Linked DNA regions of Saccharomyces cerevisiae S288C. The main gene of each other region encodes a partner of the protein of the gene in region 2 in a complex. Each region holds a gene or a part of one and is shown on either strand. Other genes may lie near its edges. The genes, in order: DBF2 and MOB1. A codon is read from its position in the direction of its gene.

The links.
Region 1: the proteins of MOB1 (region 2) and DBF2 are in contact, whole or in part, in a crystal structure (PDB 5NCN), measured with the Saccharomyces cerevisiae proteins. Residues at the interface, in NP_012160.2 of Saccharomyces cerevisiae: Leu141 (codon at 2,110), Asn142 (codon at 2,107), Ala144 (codon at 2,101), Pro148 (codon at 2,089), Arg149 (codon at 2,086), Gly150 (codon at 2,083), Glu151 (codon at 2,080), Asp152 (codon at 2,077), Glu155 (codon at 2,068), Trp156 (codon at 2,065), Ala158 (codon at 2,059), Val159 (codon at 2,056), Val162 (codon at 2,047), Asp163 (codon at 2,044), Asn166 (codon at 2,035), Gln167 (codon at 2,032), Met170 (codon at 2,023), Leu171 (codon at 2,020), Gly173 (codon at 2,014), Ser174 (codon at 2,011), Glu177 (codon at 2,002), Phe178 (codon at 1,999), Phe231 (codon at 1,840), Pro232 (codon at 1,837), Ser233 (codon at 1,834), Lys234 (codon at 1,831), Val235 (codon at 1,828), Gly237 (codon at 1,822), Phe239 (codon at 1,816), Leu273 (codon at 1,714); in NP_011606.3 of Saccharomyces cerevisiae: Lys99 (codon at 9,362), Thr100 (codon at 9,365), Val103 (codon at 9,374), Val104 (codon at 9,377), Val106 (codon at 9,383), Cys107 (codon at 9,386), Lys108 (codon at 9,389), Tyr110 (codon at 9,395), Phe111 (codon at 9,398), His114 (codon at 9,407), Tyr115 (codon at 9,410), Met118 (codon at 9,419), Phe119 (codon at 9,422), Val122 (codon at 9,431), Arg125 (codon at 9,440), Leu158 (codon at 9,539), Glu161 (codon at 9,548), His162 (codon at 9,551), Gln163 (codon at 9,554), Leu165 (codon at 9,560), Arg166 (codon at 9,563), Arg168 (codon at 9,569), Arg169 (codon at 9,572), Leu170 (codon at 9,575).

What each region holds. Positions count from the first base shown.
Region 1 is NC_001139.9:659,122-675,077, forward strand, and holds DBF2 (serine/threonine-protein kinase DBF2), read left to right. Parts: upstream 1-9,067; coding exon 9,068-10,786; downstream 10,787-15,956. Other genes in the region: NNF2 (Nnf2p), read left to right, coding at 1-649; rRNA-processing protein UTP22, read left to right, coding at 3,237-6,950; U4/U6-U5 snRNP complex subunit PRP31, read left to right, coding at 7,220-8,704; DRN1 (Drn1p), read left to right, coding at 11,267-12,790; VAS1 (valine--tRNA ligase), read left to right, coding at 13,065-15,956. UniProt on the Saccharomyces cerevisiae protein: Ser/Thr-protein kinase involved in the mitotic exit network (MEN) and required after the metaphase to anaphase cell cycle transition. Phosphorylates CHS2 to regulate its dynamics and chitin synthesis at the division site during cytokinesis.
Region 2 is NC_001141.2:153,279-169,029, reverse strand, and holds MOB1 (Mob1p), read right to left. Parts: upstream 2,616-15,751; coding exon 2,596-2,615; intron 2,511-2,595; coding exon 1,586-2,510; downstream 1-1,585. Other genes in the region: YIL105W-A (uncharacterized protein), read right to left, coding at 1,226-1,366; SLM1 (phosphatidylinositol 4,5-bisphosphate-binding protein), read left to right, coding at 1-1,449; PFK26 (6-phosphofructo-2-kinase), read left to right, coding at 3,269-5,752; YIL108W (putative metalloendopeptidase), read right to left, coding at 6,053-8,143; COPII subunit SEC24, read left to right, coding at 8,865-11,645; HPM1 (protein-histidine N-methyltransferase), read right to left, coding at 11,852-12,985; COX5B (cytochrome c oxidase subunit Vb), read right to left, coding at 13,265-13,719, 13,808-13,808; HOS4 (Hos4p), read right to left, coding at 14,184-15,751. UniProt on the Saccharomyces cerevisiae protein: Functions as an activator subunit for the DBF2 protein kinase. Binds to DBF2, which is required for the phosphorylation and activation of DBF2 by the upstream kinase CDC15 in late anaphase.

The DNA.
Region 1 (15,956 bases), on a different chromosome or scaffold from region 2:
TTCCGTGCTAACTACAAACGCAAATTTGTCCGATGAAAGGACAAAATTGAAAAAGACAAAAAAGGAATTCAGCAAGAAGTTAAGTCTTTTGAGACAAGAAATTGATTATTTTAAAGGCAGGATTTCACAGAACGCAACACATGACGAAAAGAGCACTTTAAAAGTCGAAAATTTGAAGGTTGCCCTACAGCAAAGTGAGACTGCGGTAAATAAGTTAGAGATGCAATTGAAAACTCTCACTGAAAAAGAGCTTGAATTAGAAGAGGAATACTTGAAAAAGAAAGATCTACACTTGAAAAATCAATTAGAGTTCAGTAAGTTAGAAGAAAGCTTATCGAAAGACCTGAAAAACTCAGAAGGGAGGTTCCAAAAGGTCAATCAAGAATTAGTTCAACTAGGCTCTAAACTGGACAAATTGAACGCGAGAAACGAGAAGTTACAAAAGGAGGTCGATCAGAACGCAGAAGAGATAGAAAAGTTCAGTACTCAATTTTTGAGTAAAAGAGAAAAGGATAGATTTAGAAGAAAGGAGTACAGGATACGCGAAGCCAATAAATTTGAATTGACTATAAAGGGGTTAGAGCAAGATATCAACAGATTAGAAAATGAGAATGAAAATATACATAGTCTAATTGGTAATAGTTACTGATGGAAGATTAGAAAACAAAGATAGATAAGAATTCGTTTTGTAGCATCCTAAAATTTACTTCTATTGAATATATACATGTATTTATTACTTGGACGTTCTACTTTAAATGTAGTCAGTCGTTTTTTTCTCGATATTGTTTTTTTATTGTTTCCTAATAACTTCATTTGTTACTTTTTTGCCTTTTGTTATTTATGGAAATAATGCAGGTTAACATAAGTAAACATAAAATATGAGAAAAACTAAGAATGTTTGCTGATGTATTGAACAGTTCACATCGTTGTGTCTACTATTAACACTAAGTTGTTGATCAAAACATTCCCTAATTAATAGCTGCCCCAGGACTTGGAAGGCCACACTACTCTCCATGACATCAAAGATACGGCCCAAATAATCTGTATCCTCGATATGAACTTAGGACCACATATTTGGAGCTTGTCCAAAATACTAAAATGGCAGATAACAATTAGATGGTTCCAATTCAAATACATTACAAGCTACGAAAACTAATATTCTATAATTTATACTAAGTTCATGGAAAGAATTGCAATGGATTGAGGTTTCTAACGAGGTTATCACTACCGCAAATATAGAGAGTAAGTTGGTAATATACAACAATAGAATTTAATCAATAACCAATCTCAACATTATTGTATCGTATTTTAACTTATAATTGTGCTCATATCAAGTTTTCTAGGTTACAATTACGACCAATTCTCAGGTTGTTTTGCAAAATTGGCGAAGAGATGGAGGCCTACCACATATTATCACGATTTGATAGGGATAATCTGAGTAACGATTAGTTATTGACGAATCCCTTTAATATAGTTTCCACACGAGAATAGGCGCCTACTAAAGAATTGATGAATCTGCTGGTAATTTCTAGGTTTCCATTATTCGGTAAAATATACGGAATGTATTAGGGGTTCTTCATGACGATCAAAGATCCATGAATGGAGATCGGTATTTTTAAGTAATAGTGCTACTATTTTTTTCCTTTTTGCATTCTGTCGTTCAATATCCTGTTACATTATTAATCTTAGTTTCGGATTCCACTGAAATCAATAACTATATCCCATGGCTTGGGCCTTAATTCTTGTGTCATATACAATAATATGCTAGTGCCGTGAACACTAGCCAATGAAGAAATGATCGTTTTCCAACACATACCGGACGTGGCTCTGATAGTGCTCGACGATGGAAATTTCAGCATGCATACTGATGTATGTCAAGATAACAACTACAGTCCTATCGTCGTGATTATAGGGAATCGACCGCGCCACTGCTATGACAACGGAAAGTTTATCCATGGCCTGCTGATTTTGATGCTGCTGTGGACACGAGAATACCAACACCTGTTCACATCTTCATGTGGATGAACGTAACGAAGTGGATATTTAGGCTCGGTAGCGAATCTTTTGCCGTACCTCCAAATTTATCTTGTATCGATTTTTCCGTCTAGTTGAAACTGTTATTATCCGCCCCTCCAATTTTCTGTAAAGCATAGGTGCTTCTTCAAAGTATCCAATGTATTTCTTAAGCTTATCAAGAAATAACATACTTCGAATACGTCCCAAGTTTTCTGATAACTTTATCATATTCTTTTGGCTAATTGGCGATCGTTTATATACCCCAGTGATTTTGGTTATAAATTTATAATATAGTTCAAACTATCCTTCCTTTAGAACAACTGTAAGCTTTAATTTTGAGCAAGCGCTACCATTTGATATATAGCAAACTAACCAAAATGCTAAGACATCTTCTAGTCTAAAAGTAACTCTTTTTCTGTGTATCTAATTCACATTGTGAATTTGAAAAGTACCCTTATTTGTATATATGTTGGTTTTGATGGTAGGTGACCTCACTTTTCTTTAGAAAATTTGCAATTATAGTTTTAGACAATCCCTTTATGTTTCATGTGCGTATTCATTATTTTTAACAAATTCCTAGTTCTCAAATCTGAGTCTCTTGGTAAAAATTTGCCTCCTTAGCTTAGTGGTAGAGCGTTGCACTTGTAATGCAAAGGTCGTTAGTTCAATTCTGACAGGTGGCATAATTTTATATATCTCTTTTTTTGCTTGTTGTACGGAAGTTCTGTCCATCCGGTGGGCGACCGGTATAGAATTATCGCGCCATCCATGAAGGTTGGCCCAGGGCCGAGTAAAGATTTAGGCAGGACCGGTGGTGGCCACTGCCTGGGAACGTCGGCCTACGGCTCGCTGCATGCCGTTGAAAAATTTCAATTGTAATTTGGAAAATTTAACCAAATGATAATTTCAATATGTACCACTAGCACTTTACGTCAAGAATCTCAAGCAAACCAAAGGGTTTTAATCTTATACTTTTCCATTCTATTTTTTAATAGAATTTAAATCGGCAGCTCTTATACTTGGAAACAGGACGTTTTCATTTTGCTTTTTTGAAGGCCAGATATTTGCTTTCACTTTAAGAACCAACTCCAAGAAATCTTCAAAGTTTCCTTTGTTAGATTTATCCTCTGATTGAATTATTGAAACCACAGGTATAATCACTTTGGGGTAGAACATTATAGTTTTCATAGAAATTTTACAAAGGATCTCCTTCATATACCATGGCTACAAGTGTTAAAAGAAAAGCATCTGAGACTTCTGACCAGAATATTGTTAAAGTGCAAAAGAAACATTCCACACAGGACAGCACAACTGACAACGGATCCAAAGAAAATGATCACAGTAGTCAAGCCATCAACGAGCGTACCGTGCCCGAGCAAGAAAACGACGAAAGCGATACTTCACCTGAAAGTAACGAGGTCGCTACTAACACTGCTGCGACTCGCCACAATGGAAAGGTTACTGCAACAGAGTCCTATGATATTCACATAGCTAGAGAAACGGCTGAATTATTCAAGTCTAATATTTTCAAGTTACAAATTGACGAATTACTGGAGCAAGTGAAGTTAAAACAAAAACATGTTCTGAAAGTCGAAAAATTTCTACACAAGTTATATGATATTCTCCAGGAAATTCCTGATTGGGAGGAAAAGTCATTAGCTGAAGTGGACTCCTTCTTCAAAAACAAGATTGTTTCTGTTCCATTTGTTGACCCCAAACCTATTCCTCAAAATACTAATTATAAATTCAATTACAAGAAACCAGACATCTCCTTAATTGGCTCCTTTGCTCTTAAAGCTGGAATTTATCAACCTAACGGCTCTTCCATTGATACTTTACTAACAATGCCAAAGGAGTTGTTCGAAAAAAAAGATTTCTTAAATTTCAGGTGCTTACACAAGAGGAGCGTTTATTTAGCATACCTAACCCACCACCTATTGATATTATTGAAAAAAGATAAATTAGACTCATTTTTGCAACTCGAGTATTCTTATTTTGATAATGATCCGCTTTTACCAATTTTAAGAATTAGTTGTTCCAAACCAACGGGTGATTCTCTTTCTGATTATAACTTTTACAAGACCAGATTCTCTATCAACTTGCTTATTGGTTTCCCATACAAAGTCTTTGAACCAAAAAAACTGTTACCCAATAGAAACTGTATTAGAATAGCACAAGAAAGCAAAGAGCAATCTTTACCAGCCACTCCTCTTTACAATTTTTCAGTGTTATCTTCTTCAACACATGAAAACTACCTGAAGTATTTATACAAGACGAAGAAACAAACAGAATCTTTTGTTGAAGCTACTGTTTTAGGTAGATTATGGCTGCAGCAACGTGGGTTTTCATCCAATATGTCGCATTCTGGTTCATTGGGTGGATTCGGTACTTTTGAATTTACTATCTTGATGGCAGCGTTATTAAACGGTGGTGGTATAAATAGTAACAAGATATTACTTCACGGGTTTTCATCATACCAATTGTTTAAAGGTGTAATAAAATACTTAGCCACTATGGATTTGTGCCACGACGGCCATTTACAATTTCATTCTAATCCAGAGAATTCCTCCAGTTCACCAGCTTCTAAATATATTGATGAGGGTTTCCAAACTCCAACCTTATTTGATAAGTCAACCAAGGTCAATATTCTTACAAAAATGACTGTTTCTTCTTATCAAATTTTGAAAGAATATGCCGGTGAAACATTGAGAATGCTAAACAACGTTGTTCAAGACCAATTCTCAAATATTTTTTTGACTAATATTAGCCGTTTTGACAATTTGAAGTACGATCTGTGTTACGATGTACAGTTACCTTTGGGTAAGTACAATAATTTAGAAACTTCTTTAGCTGCTACATTTGGGTCAATGGAAAGAGTAAAATTTATTACTCTGGAGAATTTCCTCGCCCACAAGATTACAAATGTTGCAAGGTATGCATTGGGCGATAGAATCAAATATATCCAAATTGAAATGGTTGGTCAAAAGTCCGATTTTCCAATCACCAAAAGAAAAGTGTACTCTAACACAGGAGGTAACCATTTCAACTTTGATTTTGTAAGAGTAAAATTGATTGTTAACCCCTCTGAATGTGACAAATTAGTCACCAAGGGCCCTGCTCATTCTGAAACTATGTCTACAGAAGCAGCCGTTTTTAAGAATTTTTGGGGAATTAAATCTTCCTTAAGAAGATTCAAGGATGGCTCCATCACCCATTGTTGTGTTTGGTCTACATCCTCATCAGAGCCCATCATTTCCTCAATTGTTAACTTTGCATTGCAGAAACATGTTTCAAAAAAGGCACAAATATCAAATGAGACTATCAAGAAGTTTCATAATTTCCTACCGTTGCCAAACTTACCCTCAAGTGCTAAAACATCAGTTTTGAACTTGAGCAGCTTTTTCAACTTAAAGAAATCCTTTGACGATTTATACAAAATAATTTTCCAAATGAAGTTACCGCTTTCTGTAAAATCAATCTTACCGGTTGGCTCTGCATTTAGATACACTTCCTTATGCCAACCAGTACCATTCGCATACTCTGATCCAGATTTCTTTCAAGACGTCATTTTGGAATTTGAAACCTCACCTAAATGGCCAGATGAAATTACTTCCTTAGAAAAGGCTAAAACAGCTTTTCTTCTCAAAATTCAAGAAGAATTAAGCGCTAACTCTTCAACTTATAGGTCGTTTTTCAGCAGAGATGAATCCATCCCATACAATTTAGAAATTGTAACCTTGAACATCTTGACACCTGAAGGTTATGGATTCAAATTCAGAGTTCTAACTGAACGTGACGAAATCCTTTATTTAAGAGCTATAGCGAATGCTAGGAATGAGTTGAAACCAGAATTGGAGGCCACATTCCTAAAATTTACTGCAAAATATCTGGCTTCCGTAAGACATACTCGTACTTTGGAGAATATATCTCATTCGTATCAATTCTACTCCCCTGTGGTAAGACTATTCAAAAGATGGTTGGACACTCATTTATTACTAGGTCATATAACGGACGAATTAGCAGAGTTGATTGCCATTAAACCTTTTGTTGATCCTGCACCATATTTCATTCCAGGTTCTCTTGAAAACGGTTTCCTCAAAGTGCTTAAGTTTATAAGTCAATGGAACTGGAAAGATGATCCATTGATTTTAGATCTAGTAAAACCAGAAGATGATATAAGAGATACATTTGAAACAAGTATTGGAGCTGGCTCAGAGCTAGACTCCAAAACGATGAAAAAGCTTTCTGAAAGATTAACCCTAGCACAATATAAGGGCATTCAAATGAACTTCACGAACTTGAGGAACAGTGATCCCAACGGTACACATTTGCAATTTTTTGTTGCCTCTAAGAACGATCCAAGCGGTATTCTTTATTCATCAGGTATCCCACTACCCATTGCTACAAGGCTTACAGCATTAGCTAAAGTAGCCGTGAATCTTTTACAGACACACGGTTTAAACCAGCAAACTATCAATCTTTTATTCACGCCTGGATTAAAAGATTACGATTTTGTCGTTGATTTGAGGACACCAATAGGTTTGAAATCATCCTGTGGTATACTTTCAGCCACAGAGTTCAAGAATATAACTAACGATCAAGCCCCATCGAACTTTCCAGAGAATTTGAATGATTTAAGTGAAAAAATGGATCCAACATACCAGTTAGTGAAGTATTTGAACTTGAAGTACAAGAATAGTTTGATTTTATCAAGCCGCAAGTATATAGGTGTGAATGGTGGAGAGAAAGGAGATAAAAATGTCATCACAGGGCTAATAAAGCCACTCTTCAAGGGAGCCCACAAATTTAGAGTAAACTTGGATTGCAACGTTAAACCAGTGGATGATGAGAATGTGATTTTAAATAAAGAAGCCATATTTCATGAGATTGCTGCATTCGGGAATGACATGGTTATAAATTTTGAGACAGATTAGAATAAACAACAAAATCATAACTTTTAGAAGTATCTGTATAATATTAAATAATTAAAGCAGCCGGCAGTTTACATAAAGAATATTTTTCTTTAATTCTTTTTTTTAGATGTGGTCCTTTCGGCGATTTGGCACAAGTTAACTTAGTATTTTTAAAAGTTTTGAATAGTACTGCTGTGGCGACGCTCAGAATAAAGCTAGGTAAACGATTTGAACGCCTCAACTAGCACTATTTGATAGCATTTTGGCTGCAGAAAATATACAAAGACCTTATGAGCTCTGAAGAGGACTATTTCGATGAGCTCGAATATGACCTTGCCGATGAAGTTAATGAGGAAAAAGAAGACATACAAACTAAAAAGCTCACTACGGTAAATTGTCAAACAGAAAAATTCAATCCATTCGAAATTCTTCCGGAAAGTATAGAATTATTCAGGACGTTGGCACTCATCAGTCCTGATAGGTTATCTCTATCAGAGACAGCACAGATTTTACCAAAAATTGTCGATTTAAAAAGAATCCTTCAACAACAAGAAATAGATTTCATTAAACTGTTACCGTTTTTTAACGAAATCATCCCCCTCATCAAGAGCAATATAAAATTAATGCACAATTTTCTAATCTCACTGTACAGTAGACGTTTTCCAGAACTATCTTCATTGATACCATCACCATTACAATACTCAAAAGTGATAAGCATACTGGAAAATGAAAATTATTCAAAAAACGAAAGTGATGAACTATTTTTCCACTTGGAAAATAAAGCAAAATTGACCAGAGAGCAGATCCTCGTTTTAACAATGTCCATGAAGACGTCTTTCAAAAACAAAGAGCCATTGGACATCAAAACGAGGACGCAAATTTTAGAAGCAAATAGCATATTGGAAAATTTATGGAAACTACAAGAAGATATAGGTCAATACATAGCCTCAAAGATATCAATAATTGCCCCTAACGTGTGTTTCTTGGTAGGCCCGGAGATAGCAGCCCAATTAATAGCACATGCTGGAGGGGTTTTGGAGTTCAGTCGCATTCCCAGTTGCAACATTGCGTCCATTGGGAAGAATAAGCACCTCTCACATGAGTTACATACATTAGAGAGTGGAGTACGACAAGAAGGATATCTATTTGCTTCTGACATGATTCAGAAATTTCCCGTTTCTGTCCATAAACAAATGCTTAGGATGCTTTGTGCAAAAGTATCACTAGCCGCAAGAGTTGATGCTGGCCAGAAAAACGGTGATAGAAATACAGTTTTAGCTCATAAATGGAAAGCCGAACTATCGAAGAAAGCTAGAAAGCTATCAGAAGCCCCGAGCATTTCTGAAACGAAGGCTCTACCTATTCCGGAGGACCAACCCAAAAAGAAAAGAGCTGGGAGAAAATTTAGGAAGTACAAGGAAAAATTCAGACTATCGCATGTCAGACAATTACAAAATAGGATGGAATTTGGCAAGCAAGAACAAACTGTTCTTGATTCCTATGGTGAAGAAGTTGGTTTGGGTATGTCTAATACTTCTTTACAACAAGCAGTAGGAGCTACATCAGGTTCCAGAAGATCTGCTGGTAATCAAGCCAAGCTAACAAAGGTAATGAAGCACAGGATTTCTGAGGCTAATCAGCAAGCTGACGAATTCCTAATCTCCTTGGGTCATAATACAGAGCAACCGAATCTGTCGCCAGAGATGGTTCAAATGCACAAGAAACAGCATACTAACCCAGAAGAAGAGACCAATTGGTTTTCCGGTCATGGTTAGGGCTCTTCTACATACTTGATAATATTTAAAAAGATATTATATAGTAGTGACCGGCGAGAGCGTTTTCGCTCATAAATTTCGTAAAAAGCCAAACACCACACGCTGCAACCCAGATGCCCTTTTTAGGAAATGTAATTATTCAAAAAGTAAACAATGACATGTTTCATTCCTCAATCTAAATCATTCGAAGCTACCTTGATGTTGAAGCCCTCCGCTTGTTGTTTATTTAAAAATAAATACAAGGAGGCAATTCGTCCAAGTAAATTATTGTAAGATAGAAACCTTGCTAAAGATAGAAACTAATATACCAGAAAAATTCAAGCAACATCTACAGTATTCCTTGCTAAAGAAAAATTCTTTAATATGCTATCAAAATCAGAAAAAAATGTCGACCTCTTGGCAGGCAATATGAGCAATTTGAGTTTCGATGGGCATGGGACTCCTGGGGGCACTGGACTATTTCCTAACCAAAATATAACAAAGAGGAGGACAAGGCCTGCGGGTATCAATGATTCACCTTCGCCGGTAAAACCATCCTTTTTTCCTTACGAAGATACTTCCAACATGGACATAGACGAAGTATCTCAACCTGATATGGATGTCTCGAACTCTCCCAAGAAGCTTCCACCAAAGTTTTACGAAAGAGCAACTTCAAATAAAACACAGAGAGTTGTTAGTGTTTGCAAAATGTACTTTCTAGAACATTACTGTGATATGTTTGACTATGTAATTAGTAGAAGACAACGCACGAAGCAAGTTCTAGAATACCTGCAACAGCAAAGCCAACTTCCGAATTCTGACCAGATTAAACTCAACGAAGAGTGGTCCTCTTACTTACAAAGGGAACATCAGGTTTTGAGAAAAAGAAGGTTGAAACCAAAAAATAGGGATTTTGAAATGATCACACAAGTAGGTCAAGGTGGTTATGGGCAAGTTTATTTAGCCAGAAAGAAAGACACAAAAGAGGTGTGTGCTTTGAAAATTTTGAACAAAAAACTATTGTTTAAGCTCAACGAGACAAAACACGTTTTAACTGAAAGAGATATCCTAACCACGACAAGGTCTGAATGGTTAGTAAAACTTCTGTATGCATTCCAAGACCTACAAAGTTTATACCTGGCTATGGAATTTGTACCAGGCGGTGATTTTCGTACATTATTAATAAATACTAGATGCTTGAAAAGTGGCCATGCGAGATTTTACATCAGTGAAATGTTTTGCGCTGTTAATGCGTTACATGATTTAGGCTATACACATAGAGATTTAAAGCCGGAAAACTTCTTAATCGATGCCAAGGGACATATAAAATTAACAGATTTTGGTTTGGCTGCTGGTACGATTTCTAATGAAAGAATTGAAAGTATGAAGATAAGGTTAGAAAAAATCAAGGACCTGGAATTTCCAGCGTTTACAGAGAAATCTATAGAAGATAGAAGAAAAATGTACAACCAGTTGAGGGAGAAGGAAATTAATTATGCGAACTCCATGGTTGGGTCTCCGGATTATATGGCTTTGGAGGTTTTAGAAGGAAAGAAATATGACTTTACTGTGGATTACTGGTCGTTGGGTTGTATGCTGTTCGAAAGTTTAGTTGGTTATACACCATTTAGTGGATCATCGACTAATGAGACCTATGACAACTTAAGGCGCTGGAAACAAACTTTAAGAAGACCGAGACAATCTGATGGGAGGGCAGCATTCTCCGATAGAACTTGGGATTTAATAACAAGATTGATTGCCGATCCAATCAATCGATTAAGATCCTTCGAACATGTTAAACGCATGTCTTATTTTGCAGATATAAACTTTAGTACTTTGAGGTCAATGATCCCGCCTTTTACACCCCAACTAGACAGCGAAACTGATGCCGGTTATTTTGATGACTTCACCAGTGAGGCTGACATGGCCAAATATGCTGATGTTTTCAAAAGACAAGACAAATTAACGGCTATGGTAGATGACTCGGCAGTATCATCAAAACTTGTTGGGTTCACTTTCCGACATAGAAATGGTAAACAGGGTTCCAGTGGCATCTTATTCAACGGACTGGAACACTCAGACCCCTTTTCAACCTTTTACTAGCGTAAAAATGAATTCTTGTCTTGCATTCGCCGCGATATAATTAGCTTTAACGAGCTTCATGCAAACTTTTCAACTAGCACCTATGAACGCTTTTTTCATAAATATACATATATATATATATAGTTGTGCATTACTTAGGACTTCAAGCCCATTGTTTAAAATCTCAGTTCACGGTAACGGTCCATCCCATGACCGTTTTGAACTAAACTTAAGCATTCATGTTGGGAGCGGCGAAACTTGGTAATGTTTTACAGGAAAACAGCAATGACCACTATTAATCGAAAATCTGCAAAAAATGAAAAGGAATGGGTGTTAACATCAATTGTTTTTTCAATGATAATTACAAATTGGACTGATACTACATTGCTAGATGTACAAAAAACGCAAGGTAGCTCTCTTAGAAGGATCCATAATATATAAAAAAGGGCTTATGGTTTACTGATATCTTTTTCACTTCAAAAACTTACATATAAAAATAGGATGACAAATGCAAAGATTTTAGTAGCTCATATAAGTGAAAGCGATGCCGATGAGGCTATCAGAAAGATCAAGAAAGTGAATGAAAAATCAGGGCCCTTTGATCTAATAATTATATTCAGTAACTCGTATGATGAAAATTTTGAGCTGAATACTGATGGGTTACCTCAACTAATACTACTATCGTGTGATAAGGCTAACAATTCGAAATCCAAAAAGATAAATGAAAATGTAACATTGCTGCATAATATGGGTACTTATAAATTAGCAAATGGAATCACTCTTTCATATTTTATTTATCCGGATGATACTCTTCAAGGGGAGAAAAAAAGCATACTGGACGAATTTGGCAAAAGTGAGGATCAGGTAGACATTCTCCTTACAAAAGAATGGGGCCTTTCGATCTCTGAGAGATGTGGAAGGTTGTCTGGAAGTGAAGTTGTTGATGAATTGGCGAAAAAGTTACAAGCAAGGTACCATTTTGCCTTTTCAGATGAAATAAACTTTTACGAATTAGAGCCTTTCCAGTGGGAAAGAGAGCGCTTATCGAGGTTCCTCAATATTCCAAAATATGGATCTGGAAAGAAATGGGCCTATGCATTCAATATGCCAATAGGGGACAACGAACTAAAGGATGAACCTGAACCGCCCAACTTGATAGCTAACCCGTATAATAGCGTGGTTACAAACAGCAATAAAAGGCCACTAGAAACAGAAACAGAGAATTCGTTCGATGGAGACAAACAGGTACTTGCTAATAGAGAAAAGAATGAAAATAAAAAAATTCGAACGATTTTGCCGTCAAGTTGTCATTTCTGCTTTTCAAATCCAAACCTCGAGGATCATATGATAATATCAATCGGCAAACTAGTGTATTTAACCACAGCGAAGGGACCTTTAAGTGTTCCTAAGGGTGATATGGATATCTCAGGCCATTGCCTCATTATTCCCATTGAACATATTCCGAAATTAGATCCAAGCAAGAACGCAGAGTTGACACAGAGTATTTTGGCTTATGAAGCTAGTCTTGTGAAGATGAACTACATAAAATTTGATATGTGCACGATTGTCTTCGAAATACAGTCTGAACGTTCTATTCATTTCCACAAACAAGTTATTCCCGTTCCAAAATACCTCGTTCTAAAGTTCTGCAGTGCCTTAGATAGACAGGTTCATTTCAATAACGAAAAATTCACAAGAAATGCTAAGCTAGAGTTCCAATGTTACGATTCACACTCTTCCAAACAATATGTGGATGTAATTAACAACCAATCCAATAATTATTTACAATTTACCGTCTACGAGACTCCTGAAGCGGACCCAAAGATATATTTGGCCACATTTAATGCCAGTGAGACAATAGATCTGCAGTTTGGACGACGTGTACTAGCCTTTTTACTTAACTTGCCACGCAGGGTGAAATGGAATTCTTCAACCTGTTTACAAACTAAGCAACAAGAGACTATAGAGGCTGAAAAGTTTCAAAAGGCCTACAGGACCTATGACATTTCTCTCACAGAAAACTAAACTAAAACTATTTCATTTAGAATTTCAAATATATCCAAATATATGTATATATATGTAGAATACTAAGTCATGCTACCTCTGAACGTTTAAGAGACCTAGCAACTCAGAGGTGATGAATTAAAAGAAAAACCGGGTAAAGTTCTTCGAGAGACCGCGCTGAAAAAATTTTTTTAGAAGAGTCACCCATACAGCCTACTGGTGTTCTCTGTGTGTGCTACCACTGGCTGTCATCGTTGTTGTATGTCCTTCAGATTTATGGAATTACTTAGATGGTATGAATAAGTGGTTAAACACATTATCTAAGACATTCACTTTTCGGCTTTTGAACTGTCATTATAGGCGATCATTACCACTTTGTCAAAACTTTTCTCTGAAGAAGTCGTTAACTCATAATCAAGTCAGGTTCTTTAAAATGAGCGATCTTGATAATTTGCCTCCAGTTGACCCAAAGACTGGTGAGGTCATCATTAATCCGTTAAAGGAAGATGGCTCTCCAAAGACTCCTAAGGAAATTGAAAAAGAGAAGAAAAAGGCTGAAAAACTGTTAAAGTTCGCTGCCAAACAAGCTAAAAAAAATGCTGCTGCCACCACAGGTGCATCTCAAAAGAAACCTAAGAAAAAGAAGGAAGTTGAGCCAATCCCTGAATTTATTGACAAAACTGTTCCAGGTGAGAAAAAAATCTTAGTATCCTTGGATGATCCGGCTTTAAAAGCTTATAACCCTGCTAACGTTGAAAGTTCTTGGTATGACTGGTGGATCAAGACTGGTGTTTTTGAACCTGAGTTTACCGCTGATGGTAAGGTTAAACCAGAAGGTGTATTTTGCATTCCAGCACCTCCACCAAACGTCACTGGTGCCTTACATATTGGTCATGCTTTGACTATTGCTATCCAAGATTCTTTGATCAGATATAACAGAATGAAAGGTAAAACTGTCTTATTCTTGCCAGGTTTCGACCATGCTGGTATTGCTACTCAGTCCGTTGTGGAGAAGCAAATCTGGGCTAAGGACAGAAAGACTAGACATGACTATGGAAGAGAAGCTTTTGTTGGTAAGGTCTGGGAATGGAAAGAGGAATACCATAGCAGAATTAAGAACCAAATTCAAAAATTGGGGGCTTCTTATGATTGGAGCCGCGAAGCTTTCACTTTGAGTCCAGAATTGACCAAGTCTGTTGAAGAAGCTTTTGTTAGACTACATGATGAAGGTGTTATTTATCGTGCGTCCAGATTAGTTAATTGGTCTGTTAAATTGAATACCGCTATCTCTAATTTGGAAGTCGAAAATAAGGACGTTAAAAGTAGAACGCTTTTATCAGTCCCAGGCTATGATGAAAAGGTTGAATTTGGTGTTTTAACATCATTTGCTTATCCAGTTATCGGTAGCGATGAAAAACTGATCATTGCTACAACTAGACCTGAAACTATATTTGGTGATACTGCCGTTGCAGTTCATCCTGATGATGACCGTTACAAACACTTGCATGGTAAGTTCATCCAACATCCTTTCTTACCAAGAAAAATTCCAATTATCACCGACAAGGAAGCTGTTGACATGGAATTCGGTACTGGTGCCGTTAAGATCACTCCAGCCCATGACCAAAACGATTACAATACCGGTAAGCGTCACAATTTGGAATTCATCAATATTTTGACTGACGATGGTTTATTAAACGAGGAGTGTGGTCCAGAGTGGCAAGGCATGAAGAGGTTTGATGCCAGAAAGAAGGTCATTGAGCAGCTGAAGGAAAAGAACCTATACGTTGGCCAAGAAGATAATGAAATGACCATTCCAACTTGTTCCAGATCTGGTGACATTATTGAACCTTTATTGAAACCTCAATGGTGGGTTTCTCAAAGTGAAATGGCCAAAGATGCTATTAAGGTTGTTAGGGATGGTCAAATTACCATCACCCCCAAATCTTCTGAGGCTGAATATTTCCATTGGTTGGGTAACATCCAAGATTGGTGTATTTCCAGACAATTATGGTGGGGTCATCGTTGTCCAGTTTACTTTATTAATATCGAAGGCGAAGAACACGATAGAATTGATGGTGACTATTGGGTTGCTGGTAGGAGCATGGAGGAAGCTGAAAAGAAGGCTGCTGCCAAATACCCTAATTCCAAATTTACTCTGGAACAAGATGAAGATGTTTTAGACACCTGGTTCTCGTCCGGTTTGTGGCCTTTCTCCACTTTGGGTTGGCCAGAGAAGACTAAAGACATGGAAACTTTTTACCCCTTTTCTATGTTGGAAACTGGTTGGGATATTCTTTTCTTCTGGGTTACTAGAATGATTCTATTGGGCTTAAAATTGACCGGTTCAGTTCCATTCAAGGAAGTTTTCTGCCACTCTTTAGTCCGTGACGCTCAAGGTCGTAAGATGTCTAAATCTTTAGGTAATGTTATTGACCCACTAGACGTTATTACTGGTATTAAGTTGGATGATTTGCATGCAAAATTATTACAAGGTAACTTAGATCCAAGAGAAGTTGAAAAAGCTAAGATCGGTCAAAAGGAATCCTACCCTAACGGTATTCCTCAATGTGGTACCGATGCTATGAGGTTTGCATTATGTGCTTATACCACTGGTGGTCGTGATATTAACTTAGATATCTTACGTGTCGAAGGTTACAGAAAGTTCTGTAACAAAATCTACCAAGCTACCAAGTTTGCATTGATGAGACTCGGTGACGATTATCAACCACCTGCCACTGAAGGTCTATCAGGTAACGAATCCTTGGTTGAAAAATGGATCTTGCACAAGCTGACTGAAACCTCGAAAATTGTCAATGAAGCTCTAGATAAACGTGACTTCTTGACGTCCACTAGCAGTATTTACGAATTCTGGTATTTGATTTGTGATGTTTACATCGAGAACTCTAAATACTTGATTCAAGAAGGCTCTGCTATTGAAAAGAAGTCCGCAAAGGATACATTGTATATCTTGCTGGACAACGCTTTGAAATTAATCCATCCATTCATGCCATTCATTTCTGAAGAAATGTGGCAAAGACTTCCAAAGCGTTCCACTGAGAAGGCTGCCTCAATTGTAAAAGCTTCTTATCCAGTTTACGTATCTGAGTACGATGATGTCAAATCGGCCAATGCTTACGACTTGGTCTTGAACATTACCAAAGAAGCTCGTTCCTTGTTATCTGAGTAC
Region 2 (15,751 bases):
TCGGTGATCGTTTACTTAACAGAAATCGCTTCTATTCAGGATGAAATTGTTAGACAGCAACTAAGATTATCACATGCTGTACAATTCCCATTCTTTTCGATCGAGAATCAATACCAACCAAGCTCGCAGGAGGATAAATCAGTACAAAAGTTTTTTTTGCCATTGGGTAATGGCTCGATACAGGACTTACCAACAATTTTGAACCAGTATCATGAATCCCTAGCATCCAGCGCGTCTAAGGCATCAAGGGAATTGACCAATGATGTTATTCCTCGTTTGGAAGACTTGAGGAGAGATCTAATAGTCAAGATAAAGGAAATAAAATCACTGCAGTCGGATTTCAAAAATTCTTGTTCCAAAGAGTTACAACAAACAAAACAGGCCATGAAGCAATTTCAGGAGTCTTTAAAGGATGCGCGCTATTCAGTGCCAAAACAAGATCCATTCTTAACCAAGCTGGCGCTTGATAGACAAATTAAAAAGCAACTTCAGGAGGAAAACTTTCTGCATGAAGCTTTTGATAATTTAGAGACTTCAGGCGCTGAATTAGAAAAAATTGTAGTTATGGAAATTCAAAACTCTTTAACAATATATGCCAGATTACTGGGACAAGAAGCACAATTGGTTTTCGATATATTGATATCCAAATTAGATTCTGGATTTTTCAACGTTGACCCACAATTTGAATGGGATAACTTCATTTCAAGGGATCCCAACTTTTTATTGCCTAATCTACCGATGAGGACATTCAAAGAAATCGTTTACAAATACCAATTCGATCCTTTGACTTATGAAATCAAATCAGGGTTTTTAGAAAGAAGATCAAAATTTCTAAAATCCTATTCAAAAGGGTATTATGTGCTGACACCGAACTTTTTACATGAATTCAAGACCGCGGACAGAAAAAAAGATTTAGTACCAGTGATGTCGTTAGCATTAAGTGAATGTACTGTGACGGAACATTCCCGGAAAAACAGTACATCATCACCAAATTCGACTGGTTCGGATGCTAAGTTTGTGTTGCATGCTAAGCAAAACGGCATAATTCGTCGTGGTCACAATTGGGTTTTTAAAGCCGATTCTTATGAATCAATGATGTCTTGGTTTGATAATTTGAAGATCTTAACATCTACTTCGAATATACAAGACAAGTATAAATTCATAACACAAAAATTAAACTTGAATTCAGATGGGAAACCCAAGCTAACCAATAACCATACCAGCATTAATAAGTATCAGCTGAGTAATGCCAATAGCACAATGGTAGAAAATGATGAAAACGATGATATAAATAGTAATTATGTGGGGTCCACGGTAACACCAAAATTGGACAATCAAACAAATACGAATACATCCATGTCTTCATTACCTGATACTAATGATTCTGAATTACAAGATCAAGTTCCCAATATTTATATTCAAACTCCAATAAACGATTTCAAATCATAAATACAAGTATAGTAAACTAGAATGTTTTTATTTCCTTCCATCCATATGTTATATTAATATGTTTCCGTATTTTTGTTTTTGTGTCCCATGCATGGAAGAATACAACCTACAAGCAGACTTATATAAATATACAATACTACCTATCCCTCAACTCCATCACTAATTCTAACAGCGGACCAAAATCAGCCGGTCTTAGTAGTTCGAACTCTTGTGCAAAAAGACAAAAATGTCTAAAACTTGTGTTTAGTACGGTTTGTAAATTTAGTTCAAGAATTTCATTAAAATGATGACAGTAAATATGCGCATAAACTCTGAATAATCGCCTTAGAATTGGTTGAATTACTCGTTGGATGAATCCCTCCGGGAAGGTACCGGTGACTTTGGAAGGAAAAAGAGATTCGTCATCAAATTGGTCTTGACACCACCTCATCAAACATTCCACATACTTAGGGGCACTTACCGAAACGGGGGGCTGACCCTTTTGAAATGCCCAAAGATATTCATATTCGTTCGTCGCTATCATCCTCGGGCATGTTTGTGGGGAGCAAAATTCTGTGATGGACCCGTATAACATATTAATCTGATTGTAAAAATCCACGCAATGAACCGCTAGCCATTCATTCTCATCCTCACCACGCGGTAACTTCACAGCTTGGTTAAGGACTCCCTCAGACCCCAGTGTCATCTCCACAATTTGCTTGATGTCTTGATGTGTTGTAACTGTCGTACCTGCTTGCGGTTGTAGAAACGGCTTCTGATGCGATGGTGTATAGTTAAAGTCCGTTACATTTTGTAATTGTTCAGGCGGAGGGGCGTGCCTCTTTGGCGTAGTGAGGACGGGAGACATCCTTCCATGGTCGCTTTCATTATATCCGTTTACTGGATTGTTTGTAAAATCTGCTCTATTGTTAATAGTATTGGCATTATTATTATTGCCGTTAATAGTATTGTTATGGGGAGTTGCCTTAGTAGGCGATACAGAGCCTGCATTATTAGCTGCATTGGCAGTATTCCACTTGAAACCTCTAGTAGATCTTATTGTTTGGCCGGGACTTATATGACTGCTTTCAAAAGGTAACTCATACCCAGTTTGTTAATAAAAGATGAACAATAATACTTGAAGTAGAAAAGAAAATAGCAACATACAAATTTTGTAGAAAAGACATGGAAATTGAAGTCCTTATTGAATTAGGAAAATTTTGTTGAAGATACTAACAAAAAAACCGGTTTTCTCTCGAATAAACTAAAAAAATATCTATACAGCTCAAACGGGCTGAGCTAAGGCTCTTTTAGATCAGTAATGTTACCAAAGCTATAATTGTAATTCTTCTAACGTTTTGATATTTCCATTTTGGGAAGTAGTATTACCCTTCTTTTGATCGAACGTATTTGTCATATTATACGAGTGGGATACCCGACCGATAATAATAATCACGTTTATATCACGTGATCATCTCTGAATACCAAAATCACAACATACGGAAATTAGGGGACATAAGATTTTTTGAGGAGAGATTTCTTTTCCTATTTATTTTTAATCGCGCCATTACTGACAATAGCAAATTAATTTATAGTGGAGTACATGGACTATTTATTATAGATTTTGTTGGCATATTCTTTTTTTAACAATAAAAGGTATACATATATATATATAGACAAACTCAAGTATTCAGTTACGGGTAAATCAAGTGAAATAAATTTCGCCTTTTAGTATCTATTTGTGTACTTTTGTGCCATAAGCTAAAAGAGTAAAAATAATAACAAGAGGCGTAGAAGAAGGGTTTATTCAAGGGAACAAAGGCAAGAGGAATAAAAGCTCATGTTCAAACCAGTAGACTTCTCTGAAACATCTCCTGTGCCGCCTGATATTGATCTTGCTCCTACACAATCTCCACACCATGTGGCACCTAGTCAAGACTCCAGTTATGATCTTTTATCCCGGAGTTCCGATGATAAAATTGATGCTGAAAAGGGTCCGCATGATGAATTATCTAAGCACTTACCACTTTTTCAGAAAAGACCTTTGAGCGATACTCCTATATCGAGCAATTGGAACTCTCCTGGAATCACTGAAGAAAATACACCTTCTGACTCTCCTGAAAATAGCGCTACTAATTTGAAATCGCTACATCGATTGCATATTAACGACGAAACGCAACTAAAAAATGCTAAAATTCCCACAAACGATACTACTGACTACATGCCTCCTTCAGATGGAGCAAATGAGGTAACTCGGATTGATTTGAAAGACATTAAATCACCTACGAGACACCATAAAAGAAGACCTACCACCATCGATGTTCCTGGTTTAACAAAGTCTAAAACATCTCCAGATGGTCTCATATCAAAGGAAGATAGTGGATCAAAGTTAGTGATTGTCATGGTCGGACTGCCAGCTACGGGAAAGTCATTTATTACAAATAAATTATCCAGATTTTTAAATTATTCTTTATACTATTGTAAAGTGTTTAATGTCGGTAACACTAGAAGGAAGTTTGCTAAGGAGCATGGCCTAAAGGACCAGGATTCAAAGTTTTTCGAGCCGAAAAACGCCGACTCTACTAGGTTGAGAGACAAATGGGCCATGGATACTCTGGATGAATTGCTAGATTATTTATTAGAAGGTTCAGGATCTGTGGGAATTTTTGATGCTACAAATACCTCTCGTGAAAGAAGAAAAAACGTTCTGGCTAGAATCAGAAAGAGAAGTCCTCATTTGAAGGTTTTATTTTTAGAATCTGTTTGTTCGGATCATGCACTGGTACAGAAAAATATTAGACTCAAATTATTTGGTCCAGATTACAAAGGTAAAGATCCTGAAAGCTCTTTAAAAGATTTTAAAAGTCGCCTGGCAAACTACTTGAAAGCCTATGAACCAATTGAGGATGACGAAAATTTGCAGTACATCAAAATGATAGATGTGGGAAAGAAAGTCATCGCATACAATATTCAAGGGTTTTTAGCTTCGCAGACGGTATATTATTTGTTAAATTTCAATTTGGCTGACAGACAAATTTGGATAACGAGAAGTGGCGAGAGCGAAGATAATGTTAGTGGCCGTATAGGCGGAAATTCCCATTTGACTCCTCGTGGTCTAAGATTTGCTAAAAGTCTACCAAAATTCATTGCCAGACAGAGAGAAATATTTTATCAAAATCTCATGCAACAAAAAAAGAATAATGAAAATACAGATGGGAACATTTATAATGACTTTTTCGTTTGGACCAGCATGCGTGCTAGGACTATAGGGACTGCTCAATATTTCAACGAAGATGATTATCCTATCAAACAAATGAAAATGTTAGATGAGTTAAGTGCAGGTGATTATGATGGTATGACATATCCAGAAATTAAAAACAACTTTCCTGAAGAATTCGAAAAAAGACAGAAAGATAAGTTGAGATACAGATACCCTGGTATTGGCGGTGAATCGTATATGGACGTTATTAATAGACTCAGACCTGTTATCACAGAACTAGAAAGAATCGAGGATAACGTTCTTATTATTACACACCGGGTGGTGGCAAGAGCCTTATTGGGTTATTTTATGAACTTGAGTATGGGTATTATTGCCAATTTGGATGTCCCATTACATTGTGTATATTGCCTAGAACCAAAACCATATGGAATCACTTGGTCATTATGGGAGTATGATGAAGCATCGGATTCATTTTCTAAGGTCCCACAAACGGACTTGAATACCACCAGAGTAAAGGAGGTTGGCCTTGTTTATAATGAAAGAAGATATTCTGTTATACCAACAGCTCCGCCAAGTGCAAGAAGCAGCTTTGCAAGTGACTTTTTGTCAAGAAAAAGATCTAATCCTACTTCTGCATCTTCATCCCAGAGTGAATTATCAGAACAACCCAAGAATAGCGTTAGTGCTCAAACTGGCAGCAATAATACCACTCTCATTGGGAGCAACTTTAACATCAAGAATGAAAATGGTGATTCGAGAATACCATTATCTGCACCACTTATGGCCACTAATACTTCTAATAACATCTTAGATGGTGGAGGTACCTCAATTTCGATACATCGTCCCAGGGTTGTTCCAAATCAAAACAACGTGAATCCTCTTTTGGCTAACAACAATAAAGCGGCTTCTAATGTACCTAATGTAAAGAAGTCAGCGGCTACACCAAGGCAAATTTTTGAAATAGATAAAGTGGACGAAAAGTTATCCATGTTGAAAAATAAAAGTTTTCTATTACATGGAAAGGATTATCCTAATAATGCTGATAATAATGACAACGAAGATATAAGGGCAAAAACCATGAATCGCAGCCAAAGTCACGTTTAAAATAATATGAAAAAAAAAAAAAAAAAAAAAAATCAGAAATATTTTATGAATTATTCAAATAGACTAATGAAGTGATAAAACCAACCTTTTTTTTTCTTCTTTAAGGTATATTGTTCGACGCAATCATGAAGTGTTGCGGTTTTTTGTTTATATTTTTCTATAACTGTTTTCCTTTTTCCCAAAGAATTATGCAAATGAAGAATATCTACGTATATATGGAAAATAATTTAATAGATATATTTTGATATGACTAAGTTATGAAATAGAAAAAAATAAGAAAAAAAAAACCTTGACTAATTACTATAAAGCTCCGTAAATAATTCCGAAGGCGTCGACCCATTGACCGACTCTGCCAGTCACACCTAGGATATATTGGCCATTAGGTGGCTGCAATTCAGCGAACCCACCTCCGTCTTTGTTACCAAACATGTCGGTCATTCTCCCATGACTCGTTATAATTTGGATAGCATCAACCCAAGCTCCGCACCTCAGATTAAACCCAATGATTATTTCACCCGGTTCTAGTGTAGCATCCGTAAAATTTTGTGTTTCATGTCCAAAGAGTACACTTTTTAGATTTTCTTCGTTTATTGAAGCATGATTTTTGATACTATGTGTAATTTTTGAGAAATAATTTCTTGGTGGTACAGAGGGCTTGGATGCGGGAGCATCCTTTGTTCCAGTTGGTTTTTCCTTGTAATAAAACCTCACACCATCTAATGCATAGCCATGGTATATTCTCACAGCAGTGACTAATCTAACATCAAAAGCGACGACGCCGACAGCATTACCACCGTCGCTGCGACCATAAAGTGGTGATTTGATACCTTGAACATTTTTAGAAAACCCATATTTCGACATGTCTAATGGCTGAACATCTAACAAAGATGGGAACTTGTCGAACTCGGTTTCCGGTGCATTAACAGAAAGAATTTTCAATTTGAAGGTATTGCCAAACTTGGCGAGTTCATTCTTGGGCAACCTGGCACGTAAATCATCTAATGTTACTATAACTTCCCGTTGAGGCCCCTGTCCACCTAGGGAAACCGGCAAGTATTCAATATGGCCCCTGGCCAAATCATCACATATAATTTCAATCAAATAGATTCCTGTGGGCGATAATATGCGGCAACTGCCGTTACCCAAAGGATATACAGAGTGTTTTATATTGGGGTATCCGCCCAATTTTGTAGGTCTCATGAACGATGGATCGTAATAATCCTGTGGTAAAGTGAAAGAGGGGTGGTACAAAAATCTTACCGTATCGAGACGGTTCCAGGTACATTCTTCCTTGGGGAAGATGGGAGGACTAGCACCAGTTGAATTAGTTCTTACAGAATAAGCCTCTTTAGTCAAGAAAGACCTATTCAAAGTGGTATAGCCTCTTAGCATAACACCGCTTTCCTGATGAGGACAACCCAGTAAGTGACCAATCTCATGCATAAATGCTCCCAACGTGATAGTCAAACATTCCCAGTAAGTACCACACTCATTACAGTCGTTGGCGACTTCACTGGTGGAGGATCTTGTCTCATCAGTAAAATAAGGCACCAATTGCTCGAGACAAGTAGGCCATGAGTAAAGCCCGTGCGACCCAAAAATGGCGAGCTTAATGCTGTCGTCACCCCCACCCAATGCGGCGTGGCCTCTAATCAACTTACCATCCCAGTGGGTGTCTAGAAACATACAAGCTGCCTGAACAGGCTTTTCGTTATTGGTGAAGGGTCCGCCGTAACTTTTAAGGGCGTCCATGGCTATCCCAAAAAGGGCGCCGGTGTTTTTCCCTTTGGAATTCTGTTGAGCTATGTCAGGGTCCTGGATTTCCTTCACCGTCTTTTCCGAACGAACTACATGTATTTTGATGGTGTTTCTCATAGCAGGCCGTTCGAACAGCGTGTCCCAGGTAAATTCTTCAACAAAGGGAAACGTCCTATTTCCCATACTGTTTCTCAGCATTTGCTCGTTCGTGTACGCTTGCATGAGTCTGGCCCCAAGTCTTAGCTTCTTGATTGCCAATTCGAGGCCATTCCCGCCCTCTCTGTCCTTCTGTTCTCGAGGAGAGTCAAACTGTAAAGGCGAATCCTTGGCCAAGATCAGACACAGGTGTACGGGAGGGTTCTGCGTCAGTGGTGTGTAGTAACATACGATTGTCCTAGCGGTGTTAGTGTCTGTAACAAAGGTCAACTTGTTCTCACCAGGAGTCAATATCACAGTGGCCTTGAAGAACTGATTATGTATGGGGTAAGTAATTGGAGGCAATTGTGGATGCTGCACTTGAACGGTCTTCGCACCATTTTGCTTATTGCATTTTCCGTGCACGATAAGACAAGGAGAAACGATTTGCTCGTTCTCTCTCAGGTTGAATAGATCAATATCCTTCGAGCCTACCATTTATTTCTTTCTCTTCGAACTACTACTTCCTTTTTTTTTTTTTACTGTATACGATCTAATAATAAGAAGAAAGAAGAACTCCTTTTAAATTTCCTTTTTCTCTCTATTTTCCGGCGACCGCTACTCTTAAACGTCCAAACCAAAAAAAGATCGAGAGAATTGACTGCGCCAAGACACATGAACTTCTGAAACCTAAGAAAGCCTGACTGTTCCTAAGGTGATCTATATTTATATACAACATCATGCTCTTAAAAGAATAGGTTACGTAATTAATTGATGGAAAATTTCAGCAAATTTCCGCCTAGAATGCCGGGTAACAAAAAAGTAATTAGTGCTATGTTTGGGTGATAGAATCGTGTCACAAATATACATAGCACTGACAAGTGTGCATTTTGCACTAACCACTGCTATAAGTTTTTCAGCTTAATGCAGTCTATTCAGGCACTATCTGGGCTTGAAAAACAGTCTTGGACATGGCCACTGGAGCAGATTTGTTAACGCTTAGCTGTTCTCTTTTTTTTTTTCTTGTTTTTTCCATTTACGGCAGAAGAAAATGAAAACTGGAAGAACGAAAACGAAGAAAAACAAAACTATGTAAGGAGGATGGTACATCAGGAAACAGGCCAAAAATAGCACTACAAAAAGGTTTTATCTGGCACTCAGGTCCATTTTTGCCGCATTGAAACAGACATAAATATATAAGTCTGAGACCATCTGCAAAATGTCTCATCACAAGAAACGTGTTTACCCACAAGCTCAGCTCCAGTATGGACAAAATGCCACCCCTCTACAACAGCCAGCACAATTCATGCCTCCGCAGGATCCTGCTGCAGCTGGAATGAGCTATGGTCAGATGGGAATGCCGCCACAGGGTGCAGTCCCTTCCATGGGGCAGCAACAATTCCTAACCCCTGCTCAAGAACAGTTACACCAGCAAATTGATCAGGCCACCACTTCCATGAACGATATGCATCTGCACAACGTACCGCTAGTCGATCCTAACGCTTATATGCAGCCACAGGTTCCCGTGCAAATGGGCACACCTTTGCAGCAACAGCAACAACCAATGGCAGCGCCTGCGTATGGCCAACCTAGCGCCGCAATGGGCCAAAACATGAGGCCCATGAACCAGTTGTATCCAATCGATCTGTTGACGGAATTGCCTCCTCCAATTACCGATCTGACCTTGCCTCCCCCACCGTTGGTTATTCCTCCAGAAAGGATGTTAGTTCCTTCTGAATTGTCCAATGCGTCTCCAGATTATATCAGGTCGACCTTGAACGCCGTTCCTAAGAACAGCTCCCTGCTGAAGAAGTCTAAACTTCCATTTGGGCTTGTTATCAGACCATACCAACACTTGTACGACGATATCGACCCGCCTCCATTGAATGAAGATGGACTTATTGTCCGTTGTCGTCGTTGTCGTTCTTACATGAACCCTTTTGTCACTTTTATCGAGCAAGGCAGAAGATGGAGATGTAACTTTTGTCGTCTGGCCAATGACGTTCCTATGCAAATGGACCAGAGCGATCCAAACGACCCAAAGAGTAGATACGACAGAAATGAAATCAAATGTGCTGTGATGGAATATATGGCCCCAAAGGAATATACTCTAAGACAACCACCTCCAGCCACTTACTGTTTCCTGATCGATGTCTCCCAGTCCTCTATCAAGAGTGGGTTACTGGCCACTACCATCAACACCCTTTTGCAAAATCTTGATTCCATTCCAAACCATGATGAAAGAACCAGAATTTCCATCTTATGTGTAGACAACGCCATTCACTACTTTAAAATCCCATTGGATTCTGAAAACAATGAAGAGTCCGCCGATCAAATCAACATGATGGATATTGCCGACCTGGAAGAGCCTTTCTTGCCCAGACCAAACTCTATGGTTGTGTCCTTAAAGGCCTGCAGACAAAACATTGAAACTTTATTGACCAAGATTCCTCAAATCTTCCAATCTAATTTAATCACAAATTTCGCACTGGGCCCCGCTTTGAAATCCGCTTATCATTTAATTGGTGGCGTTGGTGGTAAAATAATTGTTGTGTCAGGTACTTTGCCCAACTTAGGCATAGGAAAATTACAAAGGAGAAATGAAAGTGGTGTTGTTAATACATCCAAGGAAACTGCACAACTACTTTCCTGTCAAGACTCATTTTATAAGAATTTCACCATCGATTGTTCTAAAGTACAGATTACTGTCGATTTATTTTTGGCTTCTGAAGATTATATGGACGTTGCATCACTATCGAATTTGAGTCGTTTCACTGCTGGTCAAACGCATTTCTATCCTGGTTTTTCAGGCAAGAACCCAAATGATATTGTCAAATTTTCCACTGAGTTTGCCAAGCACATTTCCATGGATTTCTGTATGGAAACCGTAATGAGAGCCCGTGGTTCCACAGGTTTGAGAATGAGTAGATTCTATGGTCACTTCTTCAATAGATCATCTGATTTATGTGCATTTTCCACCATGCCAAGAGATCAATCATACTTATTCGAAGTTAACGTTGATGAATCCATTATGGCTGACTATTGTTATGTTCAAGTAGCGGTACTTTTATCTCTGAATAATAGTCAACGTAGAATAAGAATTATAACATTGGCTATGCCAACCACGGAATCGTTGGCAGAAGTCTACGCATCTGCTGACCAATTAGCTATAGCGTCGTTTTACAACTCGAAGGCGGTGGAGAAAGCATTGAATTCCAGTTTGGACGATGCAAGAGTATTGATCAACAAATCCGTGCAAGATATCTTAGCCACGTACAAGAAGGAAATAGTGGTGTCCAACACTGCAGGGGGGGCCCCATTGAGGTTATGTGCCAATTTGAGAATGTTCCCATTGTTAATGCATTCTTTAACTAAGCATATGGCATTTAGATCTGGTATTGTCCCAAGTGACCATCGCGCCTCGGCCTTGAACAACTTAGAATCATTACCTTTGAAATATCTAATCAAAAACATCTACCCTGATGTTTATTCGCTGCATGATATGGCTGATGAGGCTGGGTTACCAGTGCAAACTGAAGATGGTGAAGCTACTGGCACAATTGTTTTGCCTCAACCAATCAATGCTACCTCTTCGTTGTTTGAAAGATACGGTCTATACTTGATAGATAATGGTAACGAATTGTTTTTGTGGATGGGTGGTGACGCTGTACCAGCGCTAGTATTCGATGTGTTTGGAACACAGGATATCTTTGACATTCCAATTGGCAAACAGGAAATACCTGTTGTTGAAAATTCTGAATTCAATCAAAGAGTAAGAAACATTATCAACCAATTGAGAAACCATGATGATGTCATCACTTACCAATCATTGTATATTGTTAGGGGTGCCTCTTTGAGCGAGCCCGTTAACCATGCATCTGCTAGGGAAGTTGCAACGCTAAGACTATGGGCTTCTAGCACCTTAGTGGAGGATAAGATTTTGAATAACGAAAGTTACAGAGAATTCTTACAAATCATGAAAGCCAGAATTAGCAAATAAGGCTAAAAGGGAATCAATGATAAAAAGAAACTGTATATTTTTGTTGGTTGCATTTTTGCTTTCCAATTATATTATGTATATTGAACAGTTACTTTAATTTTTACTTCTATATTTCTTTTCTATTTTCATCCATGTTATAAATAAAAGATACAGTAAAAGACTTATGGATTAACTTAAGGAAATGAAGTTGAAACAAATTATACTAACTATCGGATAGCTTTATTTGTTTCAATGCATATAATCGACCTTTTTAAGCCAGAGTTAACTTTAAACCTTTCAGAATGAATTGGTAGATGTTCGGAGTTTATTTTGTCGTCCAAATAAGCTTCAAATTCAGTGATGCTACCACCGACTCCAAAATAAATATCCTTTGCGGCTACGTAAGTTTTGACATCGGTTTGTGGTAAATTGTGTATGTCAAGTATTGTTTCCGCTATAACGGGCAAATTGTCAGGTTGATAAATTGTTTCTGAGGATAATGAAAGGACTTTTTGGCTACCTGAGAGTACTTCATGGATCAAATTACTAAATTTACGTCCCCACGATCCTGATATAAGAGTGACGCTGATATTCCTGCTTTGTACATCGTCGTAAAAGGCAGCTAACAGCTTTGAGGTAAGAAGCAGTTCCTCATTATTTATTGGAATATCTTCACATTCGTCTTTCTGTAAGGCGTACCATTGTTCCTTTGTCAAAACCGTTTTAGCCCATGTTATAACCAAATTCGGTATGGTAACTAATCTTAATACACTGGCATTATAGTCAGTCAAAACAAACTTTAAACCTTTACTTCTATCATTCCGTAGAAGAGCAGATCTGAAAAGAAACTCTGAGGGTAGTGCCGTACCACAGCCTATTTCGACAACCGCGTCGATATCGTTGCTTATTCTATCAACGTTCTCTGACAACAAATCAACTAAATCATAAGAGCACTCCCATGATTTCAACCCACCTTCATAGATGTTCTTTCTCAAATCTTCAGAAGTATCACCTAGTAAAATGTCCAGTTCCGTGGAGTTGTTGTTGGATTGGGCATCTGTCTCTAACATTAGCTGATGTTTGACATCGAATAGTTCCCTCTTGATCAATGGTTTTCTATATATCGGAGATTGGAACTCTTCAAATGTCAATCTAACATCCTTAAGACTTTCCAATATTGTTCCTAGGTCTTCCACATTTGGCTGCACAACTCCAGCTTGCGACAAGAAATCCGAATCTAATGGATTGATGTAAGCAGTGGTATTTTCGTTTTCTTTGCTGCTTTCAACGAATGTTTCAGGTTGAGCAACAAGCTCATCATCATCAAAGTCATTGGAAGTAAAGCCGAAGGAAAATGACATATTTTAGCTACACAACACTTCGGTTCTGATTGTCCTTTTCCTCCCCATAGAATCGATGACTTGAACATTTTTATTTTTTAGATTGGACTTTTTTTTTTTCCAATTTTCCATGATTATTTTTTTTCTTCTTCGAAGTAACAATGAATGATATTTGCAGAAGAAGGTACAAGGAACTAAGTAATCAACCTACTGAACTAAGACCAAATGCGTATATATGAAAACAATCTACTTATACCCCAAACACGGAATATACGAAACAATTTTATTTTCCTCGTCTACTTATTTAGATTGAACTTGAGAATAACCTCCCCAAGGATTGGCATTTTTTGACTTCAGATACTCGTCTGATTTCAACTGCCATTCCCTGTTCATAGTCTTTGGAGTTTCAGGATTGGCTAATAGTCTCACTAAACCAAAGAGCCCAAATGAGATTCCTAACCCTAAAAATACTCCTTTAGTTATAAATGCAACATCGCCTTTTCCGTGTACAGGTCTTCTAGGTCCCCACTCGCCGTAGGATATGTACCAAGCTGCTTTGATTTCCTCGTTATTGAGAGTTTTCCATGGAAGCTTTTGACGTTCTGTCAAATTATCTGCAATCTCTTTCTGTTCTAAGTTTGGCATATTTTCCCATCTTTCGGGCAGATCTGTCAATGTTGCCTTCGAAAGGGCCTTTGTTTGAACAAATCTTGTCCCAGTTAGCCGTGCCCCTTTAGTAAGAGAAGTACGCAACACTGCAAAACTTGTGCTTGTACACCTCGAATGTTAGTAAATGGATATCTTTTAAAACTCAAAACAAAAATCAGTGTTTGTTATACATGCTCTTTACAATGAATATGTGGCGTTATTCCATTGTGAAAGTTTCCTGCAAAGAATATTAAATTGAAATAATTGGTCTATTGTTTAATGCAACAGTCATTTATAAAATATAAATCAAATGAAATTCGTCTTTTTTCGTCTTTTGCACGGTATTTTCTGAACCCCTCAGTAATTTTAAGGGGTCCATGACATTTTTTCGAGTACTCGTTCGTTGCCTTATCGAACAATACAAAATCAAAAAAAGAAATTGGTGAGTGTCATGCCGATATAATAATGACAAAACAGTACGATTATATGGAATTATGTTAACATGAATAGTATTTAATGAATCGAAAATGCAACTATGTATGAGCATATGCCAACGGACCGATGAATTGTTTTACCAAAATGGTTCTTTGGATGTCTGCTGGAGGACGGAGGATATGCTCATACGGTGTTGAAATTTAACCGGTAACTCTCGAGGTATTTTTAGAGAACGCTGTTTGCGCGTCGGCTGCTGCGCTTTGTTCAGCTTATCGTTTCTCCATCGTGCAAATTCGTTTATTGATATTTGAATCATATTTCCTTCAATTTCTTTTCTTTTTGCGTGGTTTTCAATAACAACGTTATCCCATTTAATCCACGCCATGGGCAAACTAACAAATTTTTTGTACTCCAAAAGCTCATACCCAATCTTTGTGTCCAAATCAACCCCATCAAAGTTTACAACATATCTTTTATTTTCCATGTTGTTCTTTTTATCATCATAACTACCTCCATACAGGAAAATGAATTTCAACATATTCCACAATGGAGTCAGGTGCGAGGGATCGACGGGAATCTTCTCAGAAGTTGGTTGGTTGTCCTTTGAGAGCAAGTCGATATCCTTCAACAATATCATTACTTGCAAGTCGAGCACAAATTTATCGTTTTTTTCGTCTACAAAATAATATAGCGGCAAAAATCTTTTGTAATCAAGTTTATCGTTGAAGTTAATAATCTTCAGTCCTAACGGATATAAGTCCCTTACTGCCCTTCTATAAGAGATTTCTTCCATTTCTTTTTCCCTTTCCATTTTTCTTGCTTTCTCTAAAGTAGCTTTTTCCAATCTTTCCATTTCTAAGACTTTCTGCTTCTCCTGTTCTTCGATCCTTTTTTTCTCATCTTCGGCCAGCTTTTGTAGTAGTTCCTGTTCTTTTTTTCTTTTCTTTTCTAATCTTTTCTTTCTGTATTCTTCCTCTTCCTTGAGTCTTGCTTCTCTTTCAGCAGCCGTTTCTTCATGTATTTTACTTATCTCTACAGATTTTGCCTTCTTTGGAGAATGAGGTTCCATAGAGAGTGGTGAGATACTTTTTAATTTTTCTTCATCTTGCAAGGCATTTGTTTTACGTTTTTTCCAGTCCAATGAGTATTGAGTACCAACATTTTCATTGTCATCCAATCTCTTGCGCGAATCCGAAGTTGTAGATTCCTTGACATCACGATCGTTATTAAAGTCATCGTCTGCCAGATTGAGCATCCTCGTATCGTCCTCTTCGTCTTCAATTCTAGGAGTGGCACTTCTTCGGCTTGCTAATATGGGTGATTGCGTTTTCTCTCTCTTTTTTTCATGTTTATATGTTTCATTATTATTATCATCATCATCATCATCATCATTATTATCTTCAGAGTGCTTCTTCAAATAGTTATTTATAGCATTTTCAATCAATTGAATTTCTTCACTGTTTGTTATTCCCATTATGCTGTTTTTGGCATAGTACAAAGCGGTACGACCCTTTTTATCTCTTTTGGTTGGATCTGCACCTGCCTCTAATAGCAGTTTAACAGTTCCAAGATGGCCACGACCTACAGCTACCATTAAAGCGGATGTTTTATTATCCCTTGAAGTTTGATTTACGGGAAATCCGAATGCCAAAAAGATACTTGTAATATCTTCATGGCCACACTTAACGCTTTCGAAAAATGACC